Lepisosteus oculatus: one gene and its partners. The main gene of each other region encodes a partner of the protein of the gene in region 2 in a complex. Links are inferred from orthologs where the notes say so. Each region holds a gene or a part of one and is shown on either strand. Other genes may lie near its edges.

The links.
Region 1: the proteins of tgfb3 (region 2) and lrrc32 are in contact, whole or in part, in a cryo-EM structure (PDB 8VSB), measured with the Homo sapiens proteins. The link is inferred for Lepisosteus oculatus from reciprocal best matches to the Homo sapiens genes TGFB3 and LRRC32. Residues at the interface, in NP_001316868.1 of Homo sapiens: Leu24, Ser25, Thr26, Cys27, Thr28, Leu30, Pro347, Pro349, Tyr350, Leu351, Arg352, Thr357, His358, Val361, Leu364, Leu368, Ser375; in NP_001122394.1 of Homo sapiens: Ala110, Ser135, Tyr137, Ser160, Val184, Met186, Asp187, Ile188, Asp190, Phe193, Leu202, Leu204, Arg206, Asn207, Ser208, Thr210, Cys211, Ile212, Ser213, Asp214, Phe215, Ser216, Leu217, Cys227, Asn228, Ser229, Lys254.
Region 3: the proteins of tgfb3 (region 2) and itgb8 are in contact, whole or in part, in a cryo-EM structure (PDB 8VS6), measured with the Homo sapiens proteins. The link is inferred for Lepisosteus oculatus from reciprocal best matches to the Homo sapiens genes TGFB3 and ITGB8. Residues at the interface, in NP_001316868.1 of Homo sapiens: Gly262, Asp263, Leu264, Arg266, Leu267, Lys268; in NP_002205.1 of Homo sapiens: Ser156, Ala157, Ser158, Asn161, Arg206, Gln210, Cys211, Tyr214, Leu216, Ser247, Gly248, Asn249, Ile250, Asp251, Thr252, Glu254.
Region 4: the proteins of tgfb3 (region 2) and itgb6 are in contact, whole or in part, in a crystal structure (PDB 4UM9), measured with the Homo sapiens proteins. The link is inferred for Lepisosteus oculatus from reciprocal best matches to the Homo sapiens genes TGFB3 and ITGB6. Residues at the interface, in NP_001316868.1 of Homo sapiens: His259, Gly262, Asp263, Leu264, Arg266, Leu267, Lys268; in NP_000879.2 of Homo sapiens: Ser142, Ala143, Ser144, Asp147, Pro196, Cys197, Ser199, Ile200, Tyr202, Cys204, Ala234, Asn235, Ile236, Asp237, Thr238, Glu240, Asp271, Lys355.

Annotation. Positions count from the first base shown.
Region 1 is NC_090700.1:6,485,781-6,493,138, forward strand, and holds the start of lrrc32 (transforming growth factor beta activator LRRC32), read right to left. Parts: upstream 3,197-7,358; 5' UTR 2,288-3,196; coding exon 2,201-2,287; intron 1,049-2,200; coding exon 950-1,048; intron 1-949.
Region 2 is NC_090703.1:8,710,126-8,717,441, forward strand, and holds the start of tgfb3 (transforming growth factor beta-3 proprotein), read right to left. Parts: upstream 3,176-7,316; 5' UTR 2,623-3,175; coding exon 2,277-2,622; intron 1-2,276. UniProt on the Homo sapiens protein: Transforming growth factor beta-3 proprotein: Precursor of the Latency-associated peptide (LAP) and Transforming growth factor beta-3 (TGF-beta-3) chains, which constitute the regulatory and active subunit of TGF-beta-3, respectively.
Region 3 is NC_090705.1:1,755,057-1,762,724, forward strand, and holds the start of itgb8 (integrin beta-8), read right to left. Parts: upstream 3,124-7,668; 5' UTR 2,061-3,123; coding exon 1,970-2,060; intron 1-1,969. UniProt on the Homo sapiens protein: Integrin alpha-V:beta-8 (ITGAV:ITGB8) is a receptor for fibronectin. It recognizes the sequence R-G-D in its ligands.
Region 4 is NC_090707.1:14,216,713-14,224,039, reverse strand, and holds the start of itgb6 (integrin beta-6), read left to right. Parts: upstream 1-4,230; 5' UTR 4,231-4,415; intron 4,416-7,327. UniProt on the Homo sapiens protein: Integrin alpha-V:beta-6 (ITGAV:ITGB6) is a receptor for fibronectin and cytotactin. It recognizes the sequence R-G-D in its ligands. Internalization of integrin alpha-V/beta-6 via clathrin-mediated endocytosis promotes carcinoma cell invasion.

The DNA of each region.
Region 1 (7,358 bases), on a different chromosome or scaffold from region 2:
GGGTCTCTTCTATAACACTGTGTACAATTTTGATCACCACGCTACAGAAAGGCTGCTGCAACTCTTAACTCAGTCAAGAGAAGAACAACCAGGTACATTCTGAGGCTTAAGGGACTGTCCTACACTGACAGGCTGAAAGAAATTCGTTTTTAGTCTTGAATGGAGAAGTCTACAAGGAGACCTGACGCATGTATTCAACATCCTCAAAGGTGTTGACAACCCAGCTGACTTCTTCAAAATGAACAGTGAACTACATAGAAAAGCATTTCAAACCAAGAGCAGGAGGTGCTTCTGTACCCAAAGGGTGGCAGGAGGGTGGAACAAGCTCGTGTTATAAAGAAGTTTAAAAACTGTTGAAATGTTAGCATTTCTTGTGTTCTTATGAGACAAGGCAAAAACATAGTAGAATCGGCAGAGACTGATGAGAAGCTCATTAAAACAAACAAATAGGCATTCCTGCTGTGAAATCCCAATTTGTTTTTATGACCCATGCTTTTTAGCTAAGAATTTATTCTTCGCTGCTCCTAATATTAGATTAGCCTCACTTAGCGTACAAAAAGTAAAGTGAAATTTAGAAATCTCTGCGTCCAGAAAAGCCTTTTGTTGAGCTCACCTCGCCAACCTGCCTGAAACAGGTATGAGCTCTGCTAGCAATCACCACAGCAGTGAAATGGACAAGCTTCAAAGTGTTACAGCAGCTTCTATGAGCACACTCCTCCAGGTTCCTGTCCTGACACTTCTCTGTGCTCCCCACACGCTGTCATTTAACTCCGAACAAAGGCAACAAGTTCCTCTTACCAGGTCATGCTCGTGAACAGAGAACAACAAGCCGTGAAAGCTGAAGTTTGTTTGAATCAAACGATCCGTCTTCACCACAGTGCTGCATCGCCCACAAGCTCGCGGCAGAGTAAACTGGCCAGCCACACTCACCACGCTTCTGGTCACTTACCATGGGGCAGGGAGAGAGCTGCCGGGGCCGGAATGTGGCCGTCGCTTCATTCGTGACAGCCAGAAGGAACCAGAGATACAGTGCCATCGTGCTCGAAGTCTGGAGCATCAACACCGGAAAAAAAACACACAGAAAATCATGAATGAATAAGAAAAAAGAAAAAACAGAATGAAAGGACTAGACCATGGCTTGGGGGTTTTCAGACGTTGTGTGGGATGAAACTCAATGAGAAGCTGCCTAACAGCTCTGACAGGGAAGTGGAGGCTCTGACAGTGACACTTAATGGCAAAATAGTGAAAATAAAAATGTACTCGATGACTTTGACCTGTGATTGTGTCATTGTCCCACACAATTACAGTATTGTTATCAAATAATCAGGTAGATCGGCTTTTTATTGTTCTTCAGGTTTAATTGGATCCAAAAAATAAACTGCTTAAATACCTTTGTTAAAATCGACGTGCTAAACATGTCACAGTCACTAAGCTGAGTACATACACATGCAAACCCACTTCACATACAATCTTTATCAAAGTAGTTTTATCTATACATTTTTTATCTATAAATGTATCTTTTTTACTACCTCCAGATGTTACTGTTTAAACTTAAGGTGAACTTGGGGTCATAAGGACCTAGAAAATGACTGGTTTCTAAAGTGAAATTAATTGGTAGGAAAGCAGTCCTCACAGTATACCTAAGACAGGAAGCATGTTGTGTGTACGGATCTATTGTGATGTCCATTAACACTACACAGCACCACAGAACTTCCAATCTTGACAATACAGTCAAAACCATCTAAAAGCACCTGATTCTTTTAATCCATGTACAGTTTGTTACAAATCTGAGAATACAAAATAACAGGAAACACCTACAGATCAGCCATTCTTTTAAAAAGTCTGTTTAAAGGTTAGCTATAATTAAATATGTAACACACAGTCTGCATTTACTCACCAAAATTGACTAATTAAGAACTTATCAATGGCTTATCAACTGCTCCTGGACACAGTGCTCAGGCAGATATGAGTGTGACAACTTTCTGAATGAATACATTGAAATATTTATAGGCCATTTGTTGAGGAAAATAAGGAGCTACCTTTTCAAACTATTACTGTTAAACTGTTGAACTTAGAAGTGTGCTTAAACACATTTTAATTTAGGTCTTAAACAGAAAAGGCTTTTAGTTACACTTCTATAGAAATTCTATTACCAAAGTACATTACAAATTTTAAAGCAACAATCAAAGTGTATTTTTACGTGTATGCAGTAATATAGATGTGCCACAGTCGGGTGTCCTGGGTTCAATTCTTGGTTGCAGAGCCTGCACAGTCTCCTTATGTTCATGTGGGTTTTCTCCAGGTGCACCAATTTCTGCAGTATGTCTTGTTCCCTGTGTCTGCTAGGTTAGTCTCCGGTTGACAGGAGAATGAAGTAGTGGACACAGCATGGATGTCATAATACAGTTAAGACAATTTCTCACTCTGTCATATTATATACAGTATATACCTCATGCAGATAGACAGGTAGATTCCTGTTAGTTAAGTTGTCATGTTCTTTTCTAGATTATTTTCCTAACTGCTCCTCTCGCAGGGGTGGGAAGTTGCCCATTTTTATCAAACATTGCAATTGGAAATCCAATTGCTTTATGACATATGCAAGCTATCAAACAAGACTTGGTTGCAATGTTGTCCTTGGAGAGGTTACTTGGTTATTGCTTGCATGAGCCACTAAAATGAAAGCCACAAACACACTGGACTGCACTTAGCAACAAGTCCCACAGCAGCAACAAATACTGTCCAGAAAATCAAACCTGTCTCATGTGGTAAAACCACAAAGACACGTCTGAGTATTTTTACCACCTCTTGTAGGAGTTTTTTTCCTTCTGAATTTAAATGCTTAAAAGTTTGTTTCTTACTTTAGTTTAAAGACTTAAAGTTCCTGTGACATCCAACTATGATAAGACTTTAAATTCCACTGTTTACATTGTCTTGATTAGAAAACGTGTATATCTTCGAAAAAGTGGCAGGTATTGCCATAGGAACTCATAGCTTCTCACGCCGATATATATGCCTAGCTCTCTGCCTTTCCAATTCTTTCTGTCTTGGGAAACAGCCCACTTTCATCCTTCCCACACTAGTTCCACTTCTCAAAATTCCTTTCCAGCTCTCCTCTTTCTGTGGCCATTCTCCCTTCCTCGTGTCTCATTTCATTTGTATCATGTGCATCGAACAAAGCAAGCAAAATCGACAAAAAGTCAAGTTACCTTCTGGTAAGAATTATTTCCCCCTCCAGAGTGTGCTGCTCATGTTGCTGCTGTGATGCTCACACATCCTCCCTGACTGCTGTCCAGCTGGCTCTGCCCCTGCACCTTTCAGCTATAGACGGCAGCTAATACATCCTGTGGGAATATCCTGCAGGATTGCTTTTTTTTCCCCCCGTCAGTTCCTTATTTGGGATTGGGAAGTCCATGTTTTCTCTCTTATCTGACAACACATGGTGAAACAGGGTCCTAATGCTTCATGCTTCAAAATGTGTCTAACTTTATAAGACTCCTATCTCCTCACATCCGGGATGGCACTGCTCAACATGCAATACGGCACATAAACAGTTTAAAATTCCGTGCGTGTTTTCCATGCGAATACAAAATGCAAACTTTGAAACATGTTTATTCTTTTCTGTAAGTATTCCTCCCCCCTTACCACTGTTTTTTGGTTTATTTTAAGATTTTACAGGCCCTGCAATTATGTCTTTGTAGAATTTTAAAGGCGTTACTACTTACTACTCCAGTGAGTAACCCTCTGCTAGATGGAAGAAATTCTTTAAAAGAATACCCAGCCGCCAGGTAATCCATCAGTAACACCTGCCTAACCCCACCTTCAGGAAGTCCAGCTAGTAGCCTACATGGCTCAGCAAAAACCCTTTTCCCAGAATTTCTGGGACACAGGTAAAAGCAACCGGTATCAAAAAGCATTTTCCTGCAGCTGGTCCTGGGAGGACCACAAAAGCTGAAGCTCAAGGTTGTTACAAAACAGCAGAGATCCAGCCTGTCTTTCTGTTTGCCTACTCAAGACTTACAGACATGACAAGGCTTGAACAGAGGTTTTGTTAGCCTCTAAGCGCATTCACTTTTCATTGAGCAATCTACAACTCCAATCTTCACAAACTGGAAAACATTTTTTTTTCACAACAAGAGAGCTCTGTCAGCTTTGAGAATAATAGATGACTAAAGCTTACTGACATTTTTTAAGGGCACAAATTGAAAAGGTCATGAATTTCCCATTTTTTTGTTTGTGTCTATTTTTTACTGAACATGCGAATCAAATGGCTTACAGGTTCAATTGTGTAATTGGCTTGTGGCAGCAGGTGTTTTTAATGAATAGACTACTGTATTTTTTTATTTCCTTACCAAAGCCTTGAGGAAACAACAGTCTTTTTCCTTGTCAAATTATATAAAAAATGTTGTTTGAAGATACAGTGGGCAGCTAATTGATCTCAATAATAATAATAATAATAATAATAATAATAATAGGTAGTTGAGAGAAAGACAACATTTTTATCTCCACCACTTGAAGCTAGTACAGTGCCACCTGTCTCTAATAAATAAGTTAAAACACTTGCAACCAAAGATTTTAGCAAAGGTTCACTTCTGATATTATTGAGTGTTATAGGTTAACCTACATAATATAAGGCGTGAATTTAAAGATGCCACTGTGATTATTCTTAGGCAAGTGTCTATTATTATAATTTCTTATTACCAAGATTTTAAAAATACAATAATATTTTCTTTGTCAGATATACGAGTCTTTTAGGAACACCAGAAGGGGTCATCAGTTTGCTTAGCGGAAAGCAGCGCATTTCCATTGGATGTTCTCAACGAAACTGATCAGAAAATTTGCACATCAGTCATTGCACCTGGAAGACATTATTACGGAAGACGCGATAACCTACCTGCTCTCCTGTGAGGTGAAATAACAGTGTTGTTGTTGTTTGTTTTTTGCCGAGTCTCAGAGTTAATCCAGACTAGCACAAGGATGCTGGGATCTTGCTTCTGTCGCGAACATCCCAGAAAACATCACCGCGTCTCAAGTTCACGAGCCAAGTTTTTTTTTTTAAATTAAACTTCCAAGCTTAAACCCTGCTGGACCACCGCCTGATGTCCATGCTGCTTCGGTGCGTTTCCAGCATTGCTGCAGCTTGCCTCTTGTATTCCGACATTGACTTTCTCTTGCAGATTAATGTTTGGAGACTTGGGTGTTCTGAGTAGTATAGTGCCAGCGGGAAGAGGGGATTTCCCATTTTCTGTGGGAGAGCTCCCTCAGGGATTCCCTATAGCTGGGCGCAGATTTTAAATAAGGCTCATTCATTTGCATACATCTTGCACAAATTCGTTCGCGAGTTACGTTTCCTTTTTTTTTTTACAAGCATTATTTTAATAATGTGTGCCTTTCCGTTTGTCTCCTTTCTGACTCCTTTCGGATTTTATATTTTCGTCCGTCATCACTTTGAAGGGTGGCCGTGACGACAGGTACATTAAAGAGCGAGCCTAAGTCGAACAAAAACAAAACGTTTTTCTTGTCATATTGTGTCATGCCACCTTGTGATGTTGCTGCTTAATTGCAGTCCAGCCGGCGGGAATGACCATTGACCTTGAGTACGAGACTAAACAGGGAAGAAGTGCGGTATTTTAATCATTGTCTCCATCTAGTGGCGCAGAAGCGTTATAAAGGAATCTTCCGTGGTGATTGTCATTGACGTTACTGTGTGGCTACTACACAGAAAAGGAAACACGACGTTTCGGCTGTGGAGCCTTCTTCACACCCGAAGAAGGCTCCACAGCCGAAACGTGTTTTCTCTCTTCTCTTTTCAGCATGGAATAAACCTATTACTTGTTCATTTGCAGGATAAGCATGCTGACGCAGCTACCCACCTGAACTACTGTACATTAAAATCTGCATAAACATACAGGTGATCCTGGACAACCCTGCCAGCCGACTGAAAGTGTCTTATTGGTGACCGATCCTAAGCAAAATAATGCAAAAAAAAATGCAAACCTAACGCAACATAGAAGATGTCACTGAAACGTGCATAAAATGTGTCGCTAATGCATACAAGAGTTGTTTTAACCTCTTATCAACGTAATCTCTGCTGCAAAAACACAAAACAACCAAACAATATTTCCCACAGTTCTTAAAATGCTTAACGCCAAAACAGTGGGTTTTTTCGCGTTCTCACAGAAATTGCTGATGCGGAAACAAAGCTAAACTTTGACACAGGGCAGCGATTTCTTTTTTCACACTGTTAGCAGGATCTTTTATCAGTGTCATACAGTACATCCGTGATTTAAGTGACGGTTTTTGGGCTTTGACGTGCCAGTTATTTCTGGTCACGGTTTTAATGCATTATTCGCTGAAAAGTAAATAGCACTGGATGTATTAAAACTTGGTAGACATTAATTTTCTTTGCGTTTATCTGTGGTAAAACATTTTCTATGATGAATTGAAACTGTAAACGAGTTGATCAAGTAATCCAGTCTTCACCAGGAGGACTGGTTTAAAACTAAAACATAAAGATGTGTTTTATTACCAGTGTTGTTTTCAACCTATACAAATGAAAAGCAGATTAATGATGGTGTTTTGCTTAAATAGTATAGCCTTGACCAAACACTCTACTGTGATCGAGTGTTAGCTCTTATCGATTGGTGCCAATCAATCACTTTTGAAATAAAAGTCAGGAAAACAAAACAATTATGCTACACTCTGGCAGAATTTGAGCCAACCACACTGCAACCTATAAATACAAATGTTCAGCTTGTGGAGATGGTTCGTTGTTTTTAATATCTATGTGTGTTCATTGATAATAAACTAAGCTTTTCAGACGACACAGAGTATATTTTTGATAAAACCATGCAGGGATGACTTCACCGACTTGACTGTATGCATACTGTAAAACACACTGGACGGTTTATGTATTCTGTATTACACTGGTCTTATTGTTGTCTTGTTGAGGCCAAAGGAAAATTTAGTAAATATTAATATAGTATTAAAAATAAAAACATCGCATCTAGTTAACCTTAGAAACCTTTCCAGCTGATATATGTATATAGTACTATAATTTGAATTAACCAGATAGAAATGCCAATTTCTATCAATAGGTCTGTGGTTTAACTGTACTCTCTCGGTACCAGCAGATGTCAGTGTTGATCTAAACTGTTCCCAGGGAAAGCAAGACAAAACGACGGGCCAGGAAGCCCTCGTACACACAATTCGCTTCATTGCGTCTGTCAGATTCATGTTGAATTCAGGAACCAAACGGTAACTATGAGGAAGTGCGTTTCAAAGTGTCAACGGGAGACCTTCTCATGCACAAGGGCCTGCTGGACTGTGAAACTACCCAACCTTGCCGTTGAACCTAATAT
Region 2 (7,316 bases):
AAGAAACGAAAAAGATGAAGTTTCGACAACAGTGATGGCTACCGGAGAACAAAATTCACCTTTGTTCATTTAAAGTGTGCAGTTATGTAATGAGGTTTTCAGATATCAGAACAGACAATAGATTTAGGAATTGTTAATGAAAGTCTTCAGACCACAGGGACTGGAATCTCAAAGCACATTTCCTGTTACCTTTAGAACATTTTCCATCTTTTGGGGGTCTCTCCTGAATATGAGCATGAAGGCACTGATCTGAGCTGCACATTCCATGTCCCCTCTTCTCCCTGCTCAGATATAGTCTCACAACTCTCCTCAGTAGTGAAGCCCACGATTTTGATTTTTTTTTCAGAAGTTGAAACGGAGATAGCGTGAAAAAAAAGGAATTTTGTGCCAGTGCCAAATGAGCACTGCTTCATTTCTGCTTTCAATCAAACACCTGTTGATTTCAAAGGCTAGTATGATGCAATGACGCTGATGCAATGACTCTGACTTCAGCACTGTCTGCTTTCAATTGTTCAACACAAGTTGTTCTTGTCTTTTTTCAGAAAATATTACTCAAATTTTGCACCTCAGCAGAAAGCTTTGATAATCATCACTGGGGAGCAGGTTATTCACATTGTGAGCTGCTGTTGCTGCAGTACCACCAATGGTGCTGTGGCAGTGTTCACTATTGTAGTGCCGAAGATTTAATCTAATAAGAAGTGGAAAAGTACTATGTCCCCTTGCTATTTTGTAAGTAAACACAATTAACCTTTAAAAGTGGTACTACATATTTCTTAGAATAAATGTACAGGCTGAACCTGCAAACATACAAAAATATCCTTTCATTATATACTGTGTATATTTAACTACTTACATTCGTCAAAAACAAAAGACTCGTGTTTGTAATTATTAAGATGACTCCAAATCCAAGAAACATTCCAATGAAATGTGTCAGCTTGTCTGCTTTTGGCGGTAGCAGTAGTCTTGTATCCTGAGTTCACTGAGAATCCTACTTTCAGTGTAATTAATCTCCTGTTTGCTTTTTCTATCAAAGCTCTCTTCAATGGCATGTGAGACACTGCCACGCTCAACTCTGTGCACAAGCTCTCCAGTTTTGAACTTGCAGCCAATACTCTTGTCACAAGGACTGAGGAAACGTTTTTTTTTTCAGCCAAGCTAAAAGGAGGTCCTCACATTAGCCTAATTTGTTAACATTTCCTCTCTCTTTTTACAGCATCCCTGAGATGTATGCATGCCCCTAATTCTTGATGTGCCAACAGTGAAATATGAGGCTGAAGAGTTGATGAGTTAATGGAAACCTGAGAGTGTATGCAGCCACAAACATGTCTGCTACACTACACCTCAGTTCAGCTCAGGTGAGGATTAAGAGGGAAATATTATACCCAGTAACACAAGGCCTTGTCGTCTGTCTTCATTCATGATCCTATTGAGATAAACATGGATTTTCTTGACACTTCAGAAAGATAACCTTCACAACCTGCCTTATAAGCCTTTAAGAAATCTCTGTTCATTAGAAAAAGCCTACAATGTGGCTTAGGTAGATATGAAAGAATATTGGTTAAAGGCAACACAGTCAAACCAGCAGACCCAGTTGATAGCACAGTAGGTCAAAAGGTCAAGAGAACTAGTGAGGGATTAGTGTGAAATATCAAGGAAGATTATTTGTCTATACTGTAGAAAGCCTTATCAACAAAAACTGCCATATCAACTATACAATATGTGTGACAGCGAGCAATATTAATATAATGTATAATGCACTGTGTTTTTGTAGTTAAGTAACTTTCCACATATCATCAAAAGAAAAAAAAAGGTTTTAGTTTGCCAACGAAATATACAGTACTTAGTGGAACGACCACAGAGGAATAGTTGCTGAAAGCTTTAGCATTGTCTTAATAAAATTTGCAGAGGTTTCGTGCTTTCATCTGGAACAGCATTCTATTCTGATTGGAATAACAGAAGCACCGGCGATGAGTGTTTAGGAGGGAACGGAACAGAGCCGCTCTGCTATTGCAATAAGGTACTTGACCCACTCAAATTTTATTTGCAGGGCATCCTCATTCACTAATTTCCACGGGCCAGCAAACAAAAGCAGCACAATATTAACTCTGTGCGCCCGCCAAGAAGCGTTGCTTGTCTGACACAGGAAAGTGCGGTATTTATCCGTCAGCCACTAGCAAAGTGGAAAAGGTCACTTAAAAACATAGTTATACGAAGATAACAACTTCCTAAAGTGTACGCAGTTGCTGATAAGCTTAAAATACAAACGGAGCGCTTACTGTTTTCCGGCGTCCCCTGAATCATGTTGAATTTGTATATTTCTTTGGCGTAGTACTCTGTCTCCGTATTGTCTTGAGCGCAGCTCTGATGCCTGTCTCTGCCCACCTCTTCCAGCAACTCCTTCGTGCTGTTGTACAGCGCCAGCACTTGGAAAGGGACCTGAGTCGGACCTACATCCTTGGGCACGCTCGTCAGTCTTAGCTTACTGAGGATCTGTCCCCGAATCGCCTCGACCCTCTTCTTCTTGATGTTGTGGATATCCACAGTGGTGCAAGTGGACAGTGTCAAAGTCATGGTCACAAAGTTCAAAAGCAGGAAAAACAGAAGTGCTTTACCCAGATACATCTTGGTTGCCTTTTCTTTTTTTTCCCCCCCAAATAGCGGTTATTCAGTCAAAGGACCCAATTCCTCCCGAAAATGACTCCTAACAGGTACATACGTTTCACTGAGGGGTAAAAAAAAAGAGAGATCTGGAATCTTCCTTTAAACTTTTGACACTTTTGTTTACAGATTTGTTTCTCTTGAGTTTATCTCTTTCTTCTCATTCAGTTGTTCATTGAGTCATTTGCCCCCATTGTGTGAAACGACGATTTACAAAGAAGTGGCCGTTCAGCGGAATCCGATTCTGTATTCCAAAAACACCGACTATCATAATTCAGCATTAATCTTACTGTTGGTCATACTTTATCAAACGTCCCCTTTCGTCTTCCTTCATTACTTTTATTAAAAGCACTGGCATCCTATTCGCTCGTCTCCTTGCGGAATCTATTTTTAACAAGTGTTAGATCCAGTTTCCCTGATAAGTTTATTTTTTCATCTCTGGCTGGTACGGACTTCTTATTTCTCCTTTGCCATTCGAACCCCTCTCTCCCTCTGCGTTTGCGACGAGTCTCGGACTCTGAACGGGCTTTTAGGCTCAGAGGATATTTTATATCGAGTTTTTTTCATGACGTTTTGCGGAGGAGGGACCGCAGGTTAAACGCATCTCTCGTGCGCTCCCTCGCTGTCTTTACTGCTTTATCCTGCTCTTTATTATTTTATTTTTTTGTCATTTCTGTTGTGAAATAATGGGGATGTGTAGATGTGGTATGTTTCTAAAATTTCGGCTCCTTTTTTTTTGTCAGGTTAAGGAAATGTCTGTTAATTGGCAGTTAGGGCAGATCCTTCTCTTCAGTCTTACTGACGCGAGATTCAAGATTTTGGGATGAAAGTAGGCTTGAACTAGGTGAAACTGCCGGGGGGAGGTGTTGAATGGCGATTTTCTGACTCTTTGATATCTCTAGAATCGACTTCTATGTGACACCATCTTTTAATGTTTCCAGAGTCAATAGTCAAATATTGTTTGGGTATTAAAGTTGACTTTATAACCCAGTAACACCTATCCCAGATTGTACAAATCATTAAGCGATCGAACCTCTCTGCTATATGCAATCCAGCAAAATCCAAACTTTGGATAGAGTGTAAATGCCTTATAATAAATCTAACTTGTAACCTTTTTAAGGACGTCATTAGCAATACGTTCCATTAACACTCCTTACGTTTTGCAGAAATGAAAGCGCTCCCTCTGGTGGCGACTAGCAACCCTCCCACTCTTATTTTTCTCATTGACATAAACCAGAACTGTGAGCGCCGACGAGTTTCCTGTTTTCTTTAGTTCTTGCCAGTTACCATTTTTTTGTTTAAATAATAATGTCGTTAGAACTGACTTAGTATTTTTTCTACAAAGTATCTTAATACCCGTGAGATATTTTTTAGCATAGTTCCTTTTTGTTTCAATCTGTTTTTTAATTCTAGAAAACGGTTGAAAAAAAGAAAAAGCAAAGTAGTCTCACTTAAAGCAATATTGTTAATAGCTCTATGGGCGGCAAAGCGGCGCTGTGCTGTCTCACAGGGCTCGTTCCCGGTGTTCAGGTCCGGACCTGGGGTGCTGTCTGCATGGAGTTTGTATGTTCTCTCCATGTTCATGTGGGGTTTCCTCCCACAGTCCAAGAACACTCCTGGGTTCTGGGAAAACTGGCTTTGGTTTGTGTCTGTCTGCCCTGTGATAGACTGGCGTCTCAACAGGGAGTACCCTGCCTTGCTCCCATTGCTTGCTGGGATAGGTTCTGTCTCCCTCTTGACCATGATTTGGAAGAAGCAGTTGGTAATGGATGGATGGACGTAGTTCGTAAACTTCATCATCTAGGGCTTTGTTCTGTTTTGCTTAATGAAATACTAAACAGGTACTGTACATTAAGAAGTGAATTTGATATTTTTCCTCATGCTTATGTAGTTTATTAATGTAAGATTAAGAACCTAGGTGTCTCTAAATTGTTTTTATTGTCATCTGTTATATATTACATTCTCATTAACTTACTGAACTTTACTTGCCAAAATATAGTTTAGATAAAAATCAAACTATGAAGAGAAGCAAGTCACTCACAACAGTAAAAAAATGATATTTCAAGATGGTAAAATTGTATTAACTCCCACACGGTCCAATGGCCTGCTCTCGTTTGTAACCCTTCTAATGATTGTAAAAATAAAAGATGAGGACGAGCTACTGACTTCAAGGTAAAATGTATGAACATAAGAATAGAAAGTCTGTTAGTGTCTCCTCTGATCCCTTGCATGTTCTGTATGAAGAATATCAACTAATGCCTTCAAAGAGACAATTTAGAGTCCCTTAATACAGACTTAAGAAAATTAGGAATTCACTTATCCCACATTGAATCAGGCTATTCAATCAATAAAGGAGTATTGGTTTATGGGCAAGAGCAATTAGTAGGTATATGCAAAATGAAGGGGTGTCTTGCAGTTATACAGGCTCAGGAGGGTTGTGGAGGGAGTAAATATACAGGTTCTGGTAAGCTGTGTGAGTTCCTATAGCAAGGATGTATAATGACAATGTTAATGTCTTTTATGTAATGTAATATTTATTTTTAATGTACTGTATAATGGTATTAGTACCATTTATACATTTTCACGTGTCTCTCTGTGTGTAATACATAGCTGCAAAACAATTTGCTGAGAAATCTGACAATAAAGTACGAATGTATCGTATCATATCTTAAAAGTCACAAATGAGAGGAGGCCATACAGTCCATCTGAATGGTAGTATCTTATCTAATTGGTCTAAGTCAATCGGTCCAGATATCTCATCCAGCTGTTTCTTGAAAGAAACCAGGAAATCTTCTTGTTTGGTAGATTATTCCAGACTCCCACAACCCTTTGGGTGAAGAAAGGCTGGTGGCTGTGCAACACCATTTGCTACTTTCATAGTGTGGAAGTTACAGTGGGTTTTGCCCTGAGATTCCAGCAGACTCCATTTTTAAATGATTATTTTTAAAATGGTGCCGAGCAGCAGAAAGAGGCACAGTGGGTGGTGTTGAGACTGGATGATTAGAGATATCCACACATGGGTTCCTGAAGTATGAAAGTGGAGGGTTAATTCAATTACTGTCTGCCTTTAAATCAATATTGTGTTCATTGCACTGTACTGTAATCTGATGCTATTGCTTTTATCATAGGCCACTCAGATCTGTTCTTCATTTGATGGGAGACTTAGATCTTTTGTTGTCCACAGTTAACTTACAACGCTTTGGGGTTCTTAACCCTAGAAATCATACCACAGGACACTTTACTATGTTATCCTCAGCGCTTGTTCACTTTAGCTCAAGACATTCACTCGTGTCTTGGTGAATTAAGTTCCGCTGCCTCTCATTTTCAGTTTGCGGGCGCTCCCAAAAGCTCTCCTCTACGGGCAGGTGTGACGCGCAAACCTGGACCAAACCATTTCTAGGAGGACAGGGAGGAGTCGGGGGTGACAGGATAACTGATCATTACTTTCATCTCCTGTTGTAAGAGATGTATGTGATTTGCCGTGTCATTAGGTACCATGGAAACTACTCTTAATTCTTGAACTGCAGTGATGAATCTATGGGATTCTGTCCTAAAGTTTCTAACATTCCCTCTTATAAGACACAATTATGACTCTTCTGAACCGATCGTTATTGAAGCAAACCCACCTGGGAGATAAAAGAATGACAAGAGACCGCTGGCATGCAAAACCCTTCTGTAATTTTGCTGATCTGTGAGGGTGGGAATTGAAGATCTCTATATATAGCTTAAACTTTCATTGGCAGTAAAACAATCCTAGGACCCTAAACTGCTGCAACACAATTGACTTAGAAAAATAAACCCCATGTTCCTATTAGATGCCATGAAGTCACCACACTGTCAAGCCATATTTATATATTTTAATGGAAACCGTGCAGCGTTCACTCACTTTGATCACAGGAGCTTACTGTGTGACTTCAATTCATGGCTGGGCTTGGCCTAATTATGTTTTTTTAAAACATTTTTTACAAATATAATCAAAGAATTTAGAAAGTTCATAATAAAACAGTAGCAGAAGTTCAACTTTTTGCTATTAATAATTTTTGTCTTGGTATTTTGATAGGTTTGAATTTCTGATTGATTTAAAAAGGCAGCTGAGCGCAAAAAAAAAAAAATGACTGGGGAGGAAACTGTCCCAGGAAATAATGACGATTATTTTTCTGCTCATCTCAATCCAGGCACTGAAAATGCGCCGTTACTGAACCGCAGGGATGCTGTCATTACTTGAGCCAGTCTTACCATAGTTGTATAGATGACGTCATTGTATCACCCAGGCTGCCAAAGGAAAGACTTTTCCTAACAATTGTGGCAAAACATTTTCCCAAAACAAGTACTGTTGACGAAAATAATTGCATATATGATTCAGGATCTCCTGTAACAGATATCACATACTATATAATTAGGCGCGCATGTCTGTTTCAGTCAACTCGAAAGTGCGTTAAATGACGATGAATGTAATACATGTACTAAGACTTTTAAAAATACCCAGCTTGTGACCATAGGTAATGCAATGTACTTCTGTATGATTTTCACCAAATTCCTCTTCAAAGCAGTATGAAATAAACCTGGCGCAGAACTCACGATCGTGCAAAACAGGTTACTTCTATTGGGAATATAGTATAACTCTGTGTGTTTTAATACGTGTTGTCTCTTTTCTATAA
Region 3 (7,668 bases), on a different chromosome or scaffold from region 2:
AGCATGATTATTTTTAGTCATTTTACAAACAAATGAAAAAGAGCAAGGGGGCCACAGTGAAACTTGAGGATCCCTGTATTGTTATTTCAGGGCAGATGTCCCATCTTGAGGTTCTTCAAGTTTAACTTTTCAGATTTCTGTTGCTCTGTGCAGTGCTGCCTCATCAGATATCACATGATAAGCTCTAAAGTGCACTGTGCCCAATACAAATACTAACTACGCATGTCTTATACACAAAACGTAGCTTACTTCACAGATCACAATTTATGGGACATGCCACATCTTAGAATTAATTAAACACATTCACTATTAGATTAGTGGAAGAGGTTACTATACATGAACTTCAACACTAAAGTCTTGAAATGTGCTGCAGGAATAAAAGCGTAAACCAAGAAAAAGGTACAGGCTAGATGTGAAGCCTATAAAAGGAGGAGGCCACTGAAGCACCCTGGTGGCTAGTGGTTAACTGATCCAAGGATTTCATTCACTAGAAAGGGAGCAGGATATCAACAACATGGCTGGGGCGCTTGTTCCCCACTCCCACAATCCTTTGTGTAAAGAAGGGTTCACTGCTTTAATTTAGCAAACAGGTTTCTATGGCAGGCATGGCAGCTCCAGTCACCACGGTTTGCAGGATCCTCTGCTTTTATTTTCACATCCGATACGAGGTTGCTAATACATACAGCTGATTAATTCTTTTACAAGTCAGATCTCCTGGTTTAGACACGTCTTGGGCATTTTCAGACTCTTTAAGATTTGGCACGTCTTCCCAAATTGCATTTATTGCAAGCAGATAAAAGTAGAACCCCAGTGTTATTTTTAACCAGCCTCTGGGCTTTCATTAGAACACTGAAATTTCAAAGGGAGCCAGCAGGTGTGCAGATACCCCCTTTGAATATTGTCATCATAACAAAAGCATTCAGCGTTGATTTTCTTCATAAACACAATCTGGGATCCTAAGGGCACATATAATCAAAAACAGAATGTCTTTCGACATGATGCAAATCTTCACCTTGTTTTTTTTTTTTTTAACACCAGGGCCTCAAAGAATACCGACACCGATTCAAAGAAGCGATGCGCCACTTCAATTTTAAATTATTGGTCGTTTATCTATTTCGAGTAGGATGGGGGGGGGGGGATATTAAATATCTCAGGAATATTCGCTCAAATGCTGAGGATCACCTCAGCTACTGTAAATCTCCTGTCATCCACAATCCCGCTATACTGGAAACATTTCTGGAGCGAATTCGTCGCCAGCCATTTCAAGCGATAATTCAAAAGCAATCATCTGACACTAGGATGCCGTTTTTTCGTGGCTAGTATATAATCGTCTCTTCCCCGCGGAGATGTTCCACAGAAAGGGAAGGTACAGTAGGGCTGTGATTTTCGTCAACCTCTCTCTTCAGGCGGTAACACTCATCCCGGCGATTTCGCAAGCTAATCACACCTGCAGTGACTCTCGATTGTTAGTTTAAAGTGCAGAAGGGAGCAATTGCCCATTCATACTACGTAACACCTTGAAGCAAAACAGTGCAAATAAATACAAAATAACGTGGCAGTGAAAAAACTCAGGCAACATTCCTCTCCAGTTCTGCTACTGTTGGACTTCGGCTGCGGATACACTTCATTTACCAGGACAGAAGATTTGTCTTCCTCCAACCTGGTTTTTTATACCTGTGCTCATACTGCTGCTGCTGCTGCTGCGACCTCTGCACATAACAAAATACATCACAGACAGCAACATTTGAAAAACCTAGCAATATTAAACGTATCAGCTGCCAAGGCAGTAGACTTCATGAACGGCTCCCTCACCTGACCATTTCCAGGCAAGCTACATTTCGAGTCAGGCCGCTGTTAGGCTTTTATTTGCAACTGATTACGAGGGCATGAAGTGCGTTCCGTGTATGAGGAGGGCTCACCCGAGGAGACGCATCTGTACAGTTTAAGGGGGAAAAAAAATACGACGTACCCGGCTCGCTTGTCCCAATCACGACGGTGACATACAGCGCACAGACCATCCTCTGTAGCAAGCGGCGGTGTTTCTGTGGCGAGGAAGTCATAGCGCAGGAGATACAGTACAGAGTGACACCCGAGTGCCAGACTTCTCAGAGACTGCCGAGAAATTCCCCTGGGCAGAGGAGAGCCCTGATTTCTAACAAAGCGAAGGAGTGAGCGCACACAGGCGGCATTGTACCACGCGTTATCCTTTCCGCGCACTCATAATCGGAGATCATCCACTCCGGCGTTTGCATTCCAGTGGGTCGGATTAATGTGTTAGCGGACCCCGACAACAAGGCTCGCCTGTGTTGGTCGCGTCCGCCTGCCCCCGTGGCACAGCCGGCTGCCGGCAGGGTGAGAACTGGCGTGCCGGGGATGGAGCACTTTCGCTTTCTCCCATCAGACGCCGTGCGGGCAGGTGCCGGTCCGCCTCCTTTCGGGCACGAAATCCCGAGCGTTTCTGGAAACGGGAAGGGATCGGGTTCGCCCGCAGATCATGTTGCTCTTTGTTTTGTGTCGTCCCCCCCTCCCTCTCTTTCTCTCTTTTTTTTTTCCTTTGCTGTTTGCGTGCTGCTATTATTTGAAAGACCTTTGTCTGGATGCAGAAGCCTCCGCTTACCGCCAGCTCCGGGTCTGCGGTAGTGAGTCAGTCAATGTCATGGTAACGCCTGCAGCCCACTGGCGATTTTTTTTTAATGAATAAAAGTGCTTACTACTCCGGCTCACTGTGTAGGCGGCGCAGAAGATAGTATCAGTTTTCGGTCTCTGGGTCGCCAGATATCCTTTTTTTTATTATTACGTTGCTGGTTTTGAACTTCCACCGTGCGCTTACCGCTCAGCGGGTTTCCAGAAAGACAGCGGGATTATGAATGTGGGAAAGAAATTCCCCGAGTTAACCTCTGGTTTGGTTTGTAAGAGTTACACCATTCTGAAAGAATTCCCTGCGAGTCACATCATCATCGCCGGCGCGGTGGCCTTCTTGCGCAGGGAAACTGCAGCTGGGTTTTCTACACAGACGCCAGAAGACTCCGGAAAGAAAAAAAAAATCAGTTTGTATGCTGGTCAGATGAAGAAAAGCTGTTTACTTGCAAAAATAAAAACGCTTTGGTTTTCGTGATTATTATTTACATGAAATAAATTAAAAAGTTTTAAAACAAAAAAAAACGATGCTTATCTCATCGTGCAAAATAGAATTTCTGCTTAAAATCAGAATACAGAAAAACTCGGCAATTCTAAAGAAAATAACCCACACAAGTTTTTTTTTATATATTTTTAAGCGATATTTTACACTTTATAAAAGACGGACGTTCAGTTATGGATGTGGCTGACCATTGTCTTCAATGTTAGAATCGCCCTTTCTGAAATGTCCAGTTTTGTTGAATTACACACGCTGTACTGTGTATGCACTTTTTAAAGTGATTATTTTGAATCAAAACTAGCATGCCCAAACAGAACATTTTAATGGGGGTGGGGAATGCATGTCAGCAAAAACCTCTAAGAAAATGAACAAATAAAATATGTTGAGAGTATTCTTCGTCTGAGTCAATAATTTGTGGAAGCACTTTTGGCAGCAACTCCAGCTGTCTGTTTTTTTGGATAAGTACCAGCTCCGCACTCCAGGATGGACCCATTATTTTTTGCCAACGTGCTCAAGTTGTGATTTTCTGTCAAGTTAGCTGGGGATGAACAGCTTCTTGACAAGCTTCCAAGTCCCTGCTGGTGAGAAACAGTCCCATAACATAACACTGGCATCACCATGCCTGTCAGCAGGGATGTTGACGACTGGGTGATGTCCTAGGCTTGCACCAGATGTAAAGTTTTGCTTCGGCTTTGTTTGCTTTGACCCCAAAAGCCTTTGCTTGCGCATTCGCAGTATTATCTAAGTGTTTCTTGCAAAATCCATGTAGGAATGAATTCCCAGTAAGGGCTTTTTTCTTCCATCTCTGCCATACAGCTTCGAGTCATGGATATTTTCTCCCATCTCCGCCATTGAATGCTGTGGCCCTTTTGAAGTTGGCTTCATGACGGTGCCCCAAAACAGCTTTCTCCTTGCCCCAGCTGCTCAGTTTGGAGGGGCAGCCTGATCTCAGCAGTATCTGGGTGCTTCAATAAACCACTTCGTAATGATTGATTTCACCATGCTCAAGGGGATGTTCAGTGTCTTTGAATTTTTTATACCCTTCCTGATGTGTGCCTTGTACGACTGCATTATGCTGAAAGATCCTTGGTCATTGTGGTTGAATCTCTGCTTGAAATCACTACCAGACTGAGGGACTTTACAGAGACGGGGGTATTCTGAAACCATGTGAACCACTCTAGTTGCACTGTGTAAAGCTTTGTGCGAAAGCCACCCTCTTGACTCAAGACTCAGGCCCAGTGGTGGGGCCTTGAGTCAAGTTGGTGGTTCATTAGTGCAACCTGCACGATGAGGCAAAGCTGGTCTGAATTAGTAATTGGCACTCAGAAGGTGTGAAATGCTTCATAAGGAAATGGCACTGTTAGGATAGGCCACTCATCTGGGCTAATTAAAGAGTCTTATAGGAACAGTTGGGAGGAAAAGGATTCCTAAGCTTCAGAACAGAAGTGGAGAGCACAAAAACTCCAGAGAGAGGCCTGGATTGGGCTGGTTTACAGGTTTGTATGTCTCAGCAGTCTGCGAGGTACAGTAGCTTGAGAATGATACATCTTAGGTTGTACTGATCCAGGTGCTGGACAGGTGAGCCGCATGGTAGTTTTTTAGCAGGGCTCAGTGGGAGTGAGGGCACTTCTGAGGAACGGGTTCGTCCAGCTGGACCGGGGCTGATATGAGGTGTTGGCACCTGGAGGAGCAGACAGGATCAGCTGGGAAAGTAAGTGATCCCAGAGCCTGTCCAAAGGACAAGGACAGACTGTTCAAAAACGTGGAGTCATGAAGATGACGCACTGGTGGTGCTGAGATTGTGATAACATGAGTGCTGCCGTGAGTCACATGCCCGGGCCTTTCAACTAATTGTGTGACTTGTCAAAGAGGTTCTGTGCACATGAACTAATGTAGGTTTGCTGTCCAAGCGTGTTATTATGTATCCAATCAACATCTTTAATAAGTGATTTCTTTTTGCTGACTTTTAACTTCATCCACAAAAGTGTTCAGTTTGAGCATTCCTGTTTTTCTTAAAAATACCTGCTGAAATGTGTGCACAGTACATCATGTGTAATTCAACATCATTTGAAGGGGGTGAATGCTTTTGCAAAGTACTGTGTATTGCCTTAAAGCATTTTTTTTTTCAGATTTTACATATGACATAAAAAAAAAACATTACGCCTACCACTTGAGTATTGCTTTCCAACTAAGAAGTGTGAGAATCTCTCCAGCATGCCTCTGCTGTGTGCAGCGGTCATGCAGTGTGGTGAGGATAGCTGAGGGCAGTGGTGCTGAAGACTGCCAGTTTTGTTGAGGACTGGGATGGACTGGACCACAATGGAATAGCGTCCGATAGTTTCACATGGAAGTATTGGCACTTCTGCATTAGAAACACCGGATGTCAGTCCTTAAAGACCACAGACCCACAATTCAACCCACAATTCAACTGTGGAGTTGAATTAGTGAGGAACACTGTGTCAAATGAAGGGTGTCAGTACTTTTGTCTGGGCCTGTAAGTGTAATGAGGCGATCAGTGCGTAATAAGTAACTCACTGGAAAGGCATGTTATACAAAGCATTGTTATGACAGAGTCTGTTGTACAACTAGTGCTGACTGGTCTTTACTTTCAAGAGAGCCAGTCTTATACAAGTCAATGATGAAACCATTACTTGTACATTATACCAATGGTAGTAACAAAGGATCTTATCCTCTCTTAGTCAATACATGGATTAATCAAAATATGCAGAAAAATGGAGAACAACAGATACAATAAAAGTATTGTAGGTAAGAGTTATAATCCTAGATGTTATCTATAGAATATACTGTAAGTCTTTTTTACACAGGGCCTTAACAGCCATCTTCTGAATAATGTGCACACACAAACCGAGCTTAAAAAAGCAACGAACGTGCTCAACTGTAAAAACTGAGCTGACCAAGAATACCCCTTTGCTCTCACCTGTTGCTCTGGTTAAATGAAAAAGTCTTGGAACTTGGAACTTGGAAGTCTTCCAAGTCTTGGAAGAGTGTTTTCTGAGACTGTCCTGAGGCTTCTCTTGTGTTGATAAAAACATTGTGTCTGTTCTTTTTGGTTTGTTACATTCTGATACGTTTAAAATTAATTCATAACTGGCCAAACAAAAGCCACGATGGTGATGTGGAAAAGGTGAGACATTTTTATGAATTATCTGCCAGATCTGATCTTTTTGAATGACTAATTTAGCAAGTCCAAGAATAGCTAATTCTTTAAATAGCAAATCGTAAGGGCTTGTGCAGTGCAGTCATTTTTCTGTTTCAGCGGTTTGAATATTGAGAACAATATTTGTGTTTTTCTTGTAAAATTACCTGCTGAAAAAAATTGGGTTTCTAGAAGCCACAACAACAGTTAGATACACAATAAAACAAGGCATGTACTTAATTACATACATCAGGAGATTCAAAGAATGATTGTCCATTGAAGCAAATACTGAGTAGTGTAAAATAGTGTCATAGCACTATGTGAATCTTTTAGTTATTGCAAGAAATTAAATTAATAGGAGAAGAACCACTGAACAGTTGCAGTACATGCTGTTGAAGCCAAAAGTCTGTCTTCTTTCAAGAAATGGCTGGATGAGAGCCAAGAATCGATTAGCTATTAGCAACCAAACAAGTTACAGTAGATGGACTGACAGTCTTCCTGTCATTTATACAGTAACTCTGTACTTATAATATGGTTAATAGTTTCTTTCTATGCTGGATAGGTAAGAATGTTTTTTATTATTTTTTTGACCTTTTCAAATACGCACTTCCAGGATGTGTTGAAGATAACATTAAATTCACACATCTGGAAACATACTTCCAGTAGTAACAACAATGAAGACAATTTTCTGCACAGATCATTTTCTCTACAGTGGTTGGAGTTGTACCACAAGGCTACTTCAGAGTGGGCACAAACCGATAAGTTGCAGATTTTCTGTGCTTTACTTTCCCAAATTCTATATTGAAATGGTGGAAAGGAAGAAGTTCTCACATCTTGCACAAGAAATCCCAAGACAAGGAATTTTTTACATCTTTTTCCAGCATAAATGGATACAGTATATAACGTAGCATGGAAAGGATTAAAATCACCCCCCCCCCCCCCCCAACTACAGGAAGCAAATGGTCCGTTTTAGGTGGCGAAAGTTTTCAGAAATCCATGGTTTGCTGGTTTGGGAAATATTATAGTACCTTTCCTGTTTGCAATGCCTAATATTGACAAAAATTTCCTAACATACCCTGCACTGATCAGACAATGATTTTTTGTGCCTTGACTGAAGCAACTGAATTACACATTGAGTCTGGTGTTTGCCTTGTCCATCTGCTTTGCTGTTTGTTCACATTGGTCTTGTGTATTCTCCCACCACAGTTCACTGCATTCCTCAGGTCTGCTTGCCTTTAAGTCAGGGGCCTCAGACTCAGTTGCTGAAGGGTATGGCGTCTTCTGTTTTCTCTTCCAAATTGAGCAGACAGTTAAAGAATTGAACTAATTATTTTCTAAAATAGACACCTACAGGATTTTCCTTAAGGCCTTCTAA
Region 4 (7,327 bases), on a different chromosome or scaffold from region 2:
GAGTGGGTTGGAGCCCAATCCAAACAAGTTGTAGCTGAGTCATGCCTTCAGCCTGTGAGCCGTTTAGCTCATTCCTGACTGCCAGCTTGATCTGGACATCAGCGGGGGGTACTGTATCTCTGTATCTCAGCATTATGGAACTGATATTGATTTAGTTCACTGAGCTGAGCCCATCCTGCAGACTCTTTTTACAGCCCTAGCACAGTAGCACCCTTGGGGTAAGGCAAGACTACATTTGAAGGTCACGTATTTTGGAATGATGACAACCTGTTACCTGTTGGTTTTTAATTTTCATCTGAGCCGAAGAATTTCATTGTTACTTGAGATTTATTATCTGTGTGTTTTTCCAATCATCTATTGGATCCATACAATGCTCATGGTTAATCTTCCTCACAGTGCCCAGTGCTTTGCCCTCACCTGCTTTTATTAGTTTCAGCGCAGGAAGATGGGATTGTGAGAGAAATGGGTACCCTGCGTTACTCTCTCCCTGTGCTTTCTCTGAGTTGAGGTGTGCCTGGCAGGAGAGCGGTATGCTTAATACTTTCAATACGGCTGTATTTAAAAATTGGCGTTTTCCAATATCGTTAAAAACAAACTGCAGGGTGGCATAAACTGCATTTTTACGTTTACCACCAGAGGTCAGTGTTGACTCAGCTATGTCAGTAACTTAATCTCAAAACATTCTTCTTAGGGAGGTGCACACTGATAAATGCTTCATAACTCCTGTTACGTGGCCAAGTGTTAAAAAAAAAATCTGTCCTGGATTGCCAACTTCCTTAGTCAATTACGAACTTTACATTTTTATTGTTTGCTCTCTGTGCACTGTGGAAAGCCATTATTCTGGGAGAAGGAGTCTGGGCAGCAGGAAATTCAAGTACTATTTTGAGGATTGACATCGGATCCCATTTTGACATAAATCTGTCTGCTGTGTGTTCTGTAATATACAGACTATAAATGACTCCCTGATCTGGATGTTACGGAAACACTCTGCAGAGAAATGCACAATTCATCCTCTGTGTTACACACAGATTGCTGGCTTTGTATAAAGGGATTTCTTGTTCACATTAGTATCTCTAAGTTGCAGCTCAGCTACAAAGGCTGTTCAAGCTGTCACAACATGTGAATGCCTTTGTGTTTGTGGTATATCTGTTCGACAAAAATCCTAACACATTGCTTACTTAAATTGCTTAACCTCAGTACCTAGAGATTGTAAATGTCAACATAAAATACATTTTTTCATGAGTACTTTCTTTTTCCTTCATTTGACTAGCACTTTTAACCTAAGCAATTTATGATTGCTTTGGGTATATTTTTAATTCACATTTACAGGTAAATAGAAAACCAAACTTATAGTACTGAACTGATAAGTAGTCTTAACTGCATTATGCAGATTGACTGCCAATGCATTTCTTGCAACATCATTTTAATTTTAATCTAGAGTTGTGTGTCTGACCTCATCCAGCTCACTGACTAATATAGAACATAAATGTTAAATGTCAAAAGTCGTTGAAAGTCCAAGAAAACCTGGAGAGTAATTGGAGACAAATGATCCATTTGGTTTTTCAGAAAATGAGTTTCTGAGGAATTTCCAGATTTTGCATCTATTGCAAACTGAAGTTATTCACTTAATTTTAGTTTTTAATGAATCTACATTTTTGGAATTCAATGTATTTTCAGCCCATACAAAAACTGGGGAAAATGCTTTTTACAGTGGATAGCAACTAGGTTTCATACAAATGCAATGTTAATGATCCAGTTTCTCAAATGGTATTTAACAAAAGGTTAAGAAGAGGTCATTTATACAGCTAGACAAGTTAATGCTAAACACTAAAGTCCTTAACTAAGCTATCCCTAAAAGTCATCAGCTTGTTCCATTGCAATTAGAATGAGTGGGTTCTAATTGCAATGGAACAAATCAAAACAAATCGCTTAACATAGTTCTATCAAAGAATATATGCAGAACCCTGATCACAAGCTTAAGTATAACTCCTGTCTTCGCTCAAGCACAAAACCTAACTCAAACTCTTACGTACAGCCTTTAACTGAGTTCCAGCACTAAGACTAACCTTGAGTATCATATGCTTAACCTTTTCTCAGCTCTAATCCAGCACTAAACCTAAATACAGCCTTTATTATATATCCAAACTTAACCCTACGCATCAACCTTATGATCTCTTCAACCGTAACCATCATCCTAAATCTGAATTTAAATGTACCCTATATACAAACATTACGATAGCTACAGCACTTGGCCTAAGCATACCTGTACAGGTAGCGTCAACACTAAATATGATCTTTATCATAATTATAACTCTTACATTTAACCCCCCAAAAATTAAGATCATGATATAATTCATTTTTTCTAAACCTAACTGTAACTGTAATCATAACCATACTGTTTGTTCTGACTTAAGGCCTGTTCTTAATACTATTTAAAGCCCTTTCTTTAGCAAAACTCCTCTAAAAAAATAAAAGTTTTAAAGTGTTGGACAGAGAATAAGTGTAAGGTCAAAACAATTTTTAAAGTTAGAAAGTATAATGTGGAGTTCAAATTAGCATTAAGGTATGGATTAAAAGGTGAGTAACTGGGTAAGGGTTAGGATTAGTGTTAAAGTTATAGTTCACATTAGAGTTAGGATTATTAGGTTCAGACTCCAACCTTCCAGGAAAGACGATACACAGATAATTAGGGCAGATGGCACTGGCTCACACTACTTTAGATTTTAAATTAGGCCCACGTATTTTCAATTCCAGCACCCTTTTCCTTGAGGGAATCCATAGGGACTTTTTAAAGCATATATGAGCTAATTCAGTTCACCTTATGACATTGCCACAGCATTTTATGTTTGATTTTAACCGTTGCAGCTATCTTTATTAACTCCCATCTGGGAATAAATTGTACATAGACCATTGACTCTTGGAATAGATAAGTTAGTAAACATACTTCCCAATACTCAGAATGTTCTGTGAACTTTCACATCATTGTTGGAAATTGAAATTGCTGCAATCGTAATAATAAATGTATTGTTTTCACAGGTCACAAAAAATTGCAAAATGTGTTTCCTGAATGTTTCAAAACTCATCTAGAAGTCAGGTGATTCTTATTTTTAATTAAGCTTTTATTTCTTTTCAGTACGGATTCACTTCCAAGAATCCATAGGTCACTAATCGGGATGGGATCGGCACACTGTCTGGTCGGTTCAACTGGTGTTGTTTCGGAAGATAACTTGTCATTAAATCTTGTCATGTGGAGCTCTTGTTGCCCCACCAGGTGGGTACCATACCTGATAATTTAACACACACTGTTTAGAAATCCCCCAAAAAAGGAAGGGTTCTTATCAAACTTATAAAAGGCTTGCTTGGCTTTTATATCCACTTCCTCCTTGCCCCGCCTCTCTGCTGCCCTGGCTTCTCCTAATGAGGGGGTGTGGTTCTGTATTGGGCCATTTCCAGGGAATCACCCCAGCCAGACAAGCTCAGCCTCGAAAAGAAGCTCAGAGTTGAGCGGAACAGAGCAGAGCCAAAGACCAAAGATGCTACGTTAAAATACAATGACAAGAGCAAACTCAGCCACCTCACTGAATGATTTTATTCAGTATCTGTAGGAATAGAACTGATACTGTATATCGCAGCATTTGGCTCTTTTTCTCCTATTTAAAAAAATACATTTTCCCTGGAGAGTGAACATCTAGATTCAGCACAAACAGCAGCATGTCTTAGTTCATGAATGAGCTATTCAGCTCCATCACAACACCATGAAGAAATTTATACCTAATCACGGAAATTACAATTTAAGGGGCTTGTTTCTGAGGCTGGGGGCCTAAGCTTCCTGAGGAGGCTCATTACCGCTGTCTGTTTTGGAATATAGATTATTTTAGTCTGTTAAAAAGAGCATAAGAATGCTTAAAAATGTGGAGGCCATTTCATTCTTTTAGCTGCTTGGTATCGATCTGAAAATTTATTCAAGTCTCTTTGTAAAAGAAGCTAGGGTTTTGGCTTCAACAACATGGTTGGTTAGCTTGTTCCATCCTCCCACAACCTTGTGTCTCAGAGAACATCGTCTCAGAGTTGGTTTCACTCTCAAAAAAAGATACACAGGCATAACTTTTCCATGTGTCATCCTTGAACAGTTGCACATTTGCCTGTCAATCTAAATTTAACCTATTATACTGCTACTAATGAATGTGAAGCATTTTTTGTATCAGGCAAGCAGTTGCTACCATCATTCAATACTGCAACATGCTTTATATCTTAAATGGAAGAAGAATAAAAACGTCATGGTCTCTAATGCAGTTTGCTACTTTGGTTTAATGTTACTTTGTGGAAGAGGAGCTATGAAGCACATTGTTTTTTTCTCACTGGCTTGGTGGAATTGTTTGCTTTTGACAGTATGATATCACAGTCATCTGCTTTTGGTAAGTTCTATGCTTTGAAGCTTTTACATCTTTAATTTCAGAATGGGGATTGGGCAACACAACACAATAGCAAGATATTGTTTAAATGTATAATTTTGAAACTAAAGCAAAATGAGTATTAAGATCTAGAATGCTAACTTTAGTTGTTTTGTTGTGGTAAACCCTACACCAGTCAATACCAGTTTATTTAAAAGCAAATCTAAGATTACAGTAATTCTGTTGAAGCAGAAGATATCTACTAAAACCTTAGTAGGCCTTTCATTTCTATCTGTGGTTGTCAGGGAGGGGGCATGAGTTTCTTTTCTGTCACTTATGTTTACTGTTCAGATTCCTTGGTACAATTGAGTAATTAGTAGAAAACAGTCACTTTTTCATTCAGGCAGTAACACAATGCTCAGGGAGCAGGAGGAGAACAGCACACTATCACAGCAGATGGTGTTCCTTGGGGGGGTGTGCTGGTGAGCACTGATTCAAGAAAAGATGAGAAAGTGGTCTATAATACAGCTATGTGTGCACGACAGCACCTTAAACCAACAGTGCATTATACAAAGCCTTCATACCCAGCAATTCTGTTTAAGACATCGACTGGTATTTTATAGAAAATTCACATTTAAAAAAAGACATGATACATTTGCTGAAGAGAATGTTCCTTTGTTCATTAATTATTAACCTTGACTGAAAGCACAAATGCTTGCCTTTGCTCTCACCAGCATTTTGTTATAATTTTATCTGTACAATTCAATAAAAGGAAAATGAATGTAAGGGAAAGTCTTGCATGCCTTTTCCATCTTTCTATTATCCCTGGAGTCAGAGGGCACATTTTCTGGACACCCTGGACAAGACACAGTTGGGTCAGGGCGGAGCGGTGGCACCTTGGCTAAAGATCTGTGCCTGTGGCTGGAAAGTAGGAGGCTCAAATCCCAAGGCTGGCAGAGGAATCCTACTCTGTTGGACCCCCATTCATTTGGGTTTCCACCAAGGTGCCCCGGTTTCCCCCGACAGCCCAAAAATATACTGGTAGGTTAATTTGCTTCTGGGAAAACTGGCCCTGGTGTGAGGTGTGAGTGTGTGCGTGTCTGTCTGCCCTGAGACGGAAAAGCGTGCCATCCAGGATGTACCCTGCCTTGAACCTGTTGCTTGCTGGGATAGACTCTGGCTCAAGTGAATTTAACACTGGAGCCAAGGGCTCCAGCCGTTACTCTGCCAGGTGCAGTTCTGTGCACGTCCTTCCCTGCAACTTGAAAAGAAACATAACTTTCAAAACACTGAACCTCAAATCTGTAGTGAGAATCCACACCACTGATAATAAGAATACATTATTTGGCACTTGTCTACTGGGGGGAAAATGACAAAAGACAAAAGAACAACAAAAACAGAAGTAAAGAGAAAGTGTCAAAATGTACAGGTAGAAGGACATTACAATCTAGAAGTTGTCATCCTCTTCAGTTGCTTTTTCGTATGGAAGTGATCAAGATATACAAGTAGTATTTGTAGAACAAGAGTTTCAGGAGGTTTACTTCTTTTCTGTGATACACTTTTATATATTTTACACTGCATGTTCTGATACAAAAAAGGAAGTTGATTTTTTGTGCAATCCAGAAATATTATTTGTTAAGCAATATAAAAGGAAGACTTCGATGAAAAAGGGCATTTTTTTCAGTGATTGACATAACATTTAAAATTTATTTATTTTGAAAGCGTGGGCTTTAGAGTTGGATTTTTAACAGTACTTTTCATTCTGGTTTCCTATAGAGAAACAATAGATTTTACCTAATGCAATTTGTCTTGACTTGATGTGTAGATTCCCTTTGTGTCATGCTGGCACAGCAACTCCGTGGTTAACATACTGTAACGGTAATTAAAAAACTCCTGTGTAGAATAATTTTGTTGCCCAGCTTTTTTTTTTCTGGGCTGTTCTACCTAAATTCTATTTCAGGAACTTTAAGTACAAAAATTCTACAGTATGTAAAAACTAAAGCATCATTGCAGATCAGACTCTGAAATCCTGCTTAAGTTGAGTGTGCTTTAAGGCCTAAAAGGTACTCCTCAGCTCCTTACCAGCACTAGTTCACTTGACCAAACAGACAATATTTTAGCCTTTCTAAAAGAAGAAGTAATTACAGACCCTGGCTTTAAGAATGACACAGTGTTTATAATGATACATTTTATCTTGGTCTTGAATTAGGGAAAAAAAGGCTCACCACCATTAAGCAAAACGTGCAAAGCTCGTGATTATTATCTAGTTCTATGATTCGCTCTTTAAAATGCGCAATCTGTGCTGTATGCCGGGATGTATGTATGATTCAGCTTTTAAAAAAAAATGAAGTTCTGTTTTTGCTTGAAGTCGGTTCTTAAGTGTTGAAGCAATTAGCCCTGCCTCTCTGCATCTGCTGACACAGCAGCTCAGACTAAGGTTACGGTACTGGAACTTCCACCAGCGTAGTACTGGTAAATCAGAGCAATGCAGGAAAGTTTAGCCATCACAGACACAAGCAAATAAAGACAAAACTGCACATGGCTTTGAGAAGGTTCAGAATTGTTTTCTTTTTCAAATGACCCGATGTGTTGTAATTGCTACTCTTACAACTTTAAAATGAATTCTTTTTAAAACATGTTGATACCTATTAACCTAAATATACTACTTGAGAACTCCCAGTAATGCCTCCCAGTAATTTAAATGAGGGATAAACCCACAACCAAAATTGAAAGCAAGTCCCATAATGAAAGTAATGCACAATTGACTTACAGTGGCATTGTCAGCACTCATAAAATCTTATTTTTTCAGTCTGTCTTTACAGTTAAATTGCATTGCAGGTGTCATTCAATTAGTGCTATTCCTGCTTCCTCCCAGTGCAGCAGTAAAGCAATTAGAAAGATGGTATACAGTGGATCTCTTCATTTATAATTGAAAA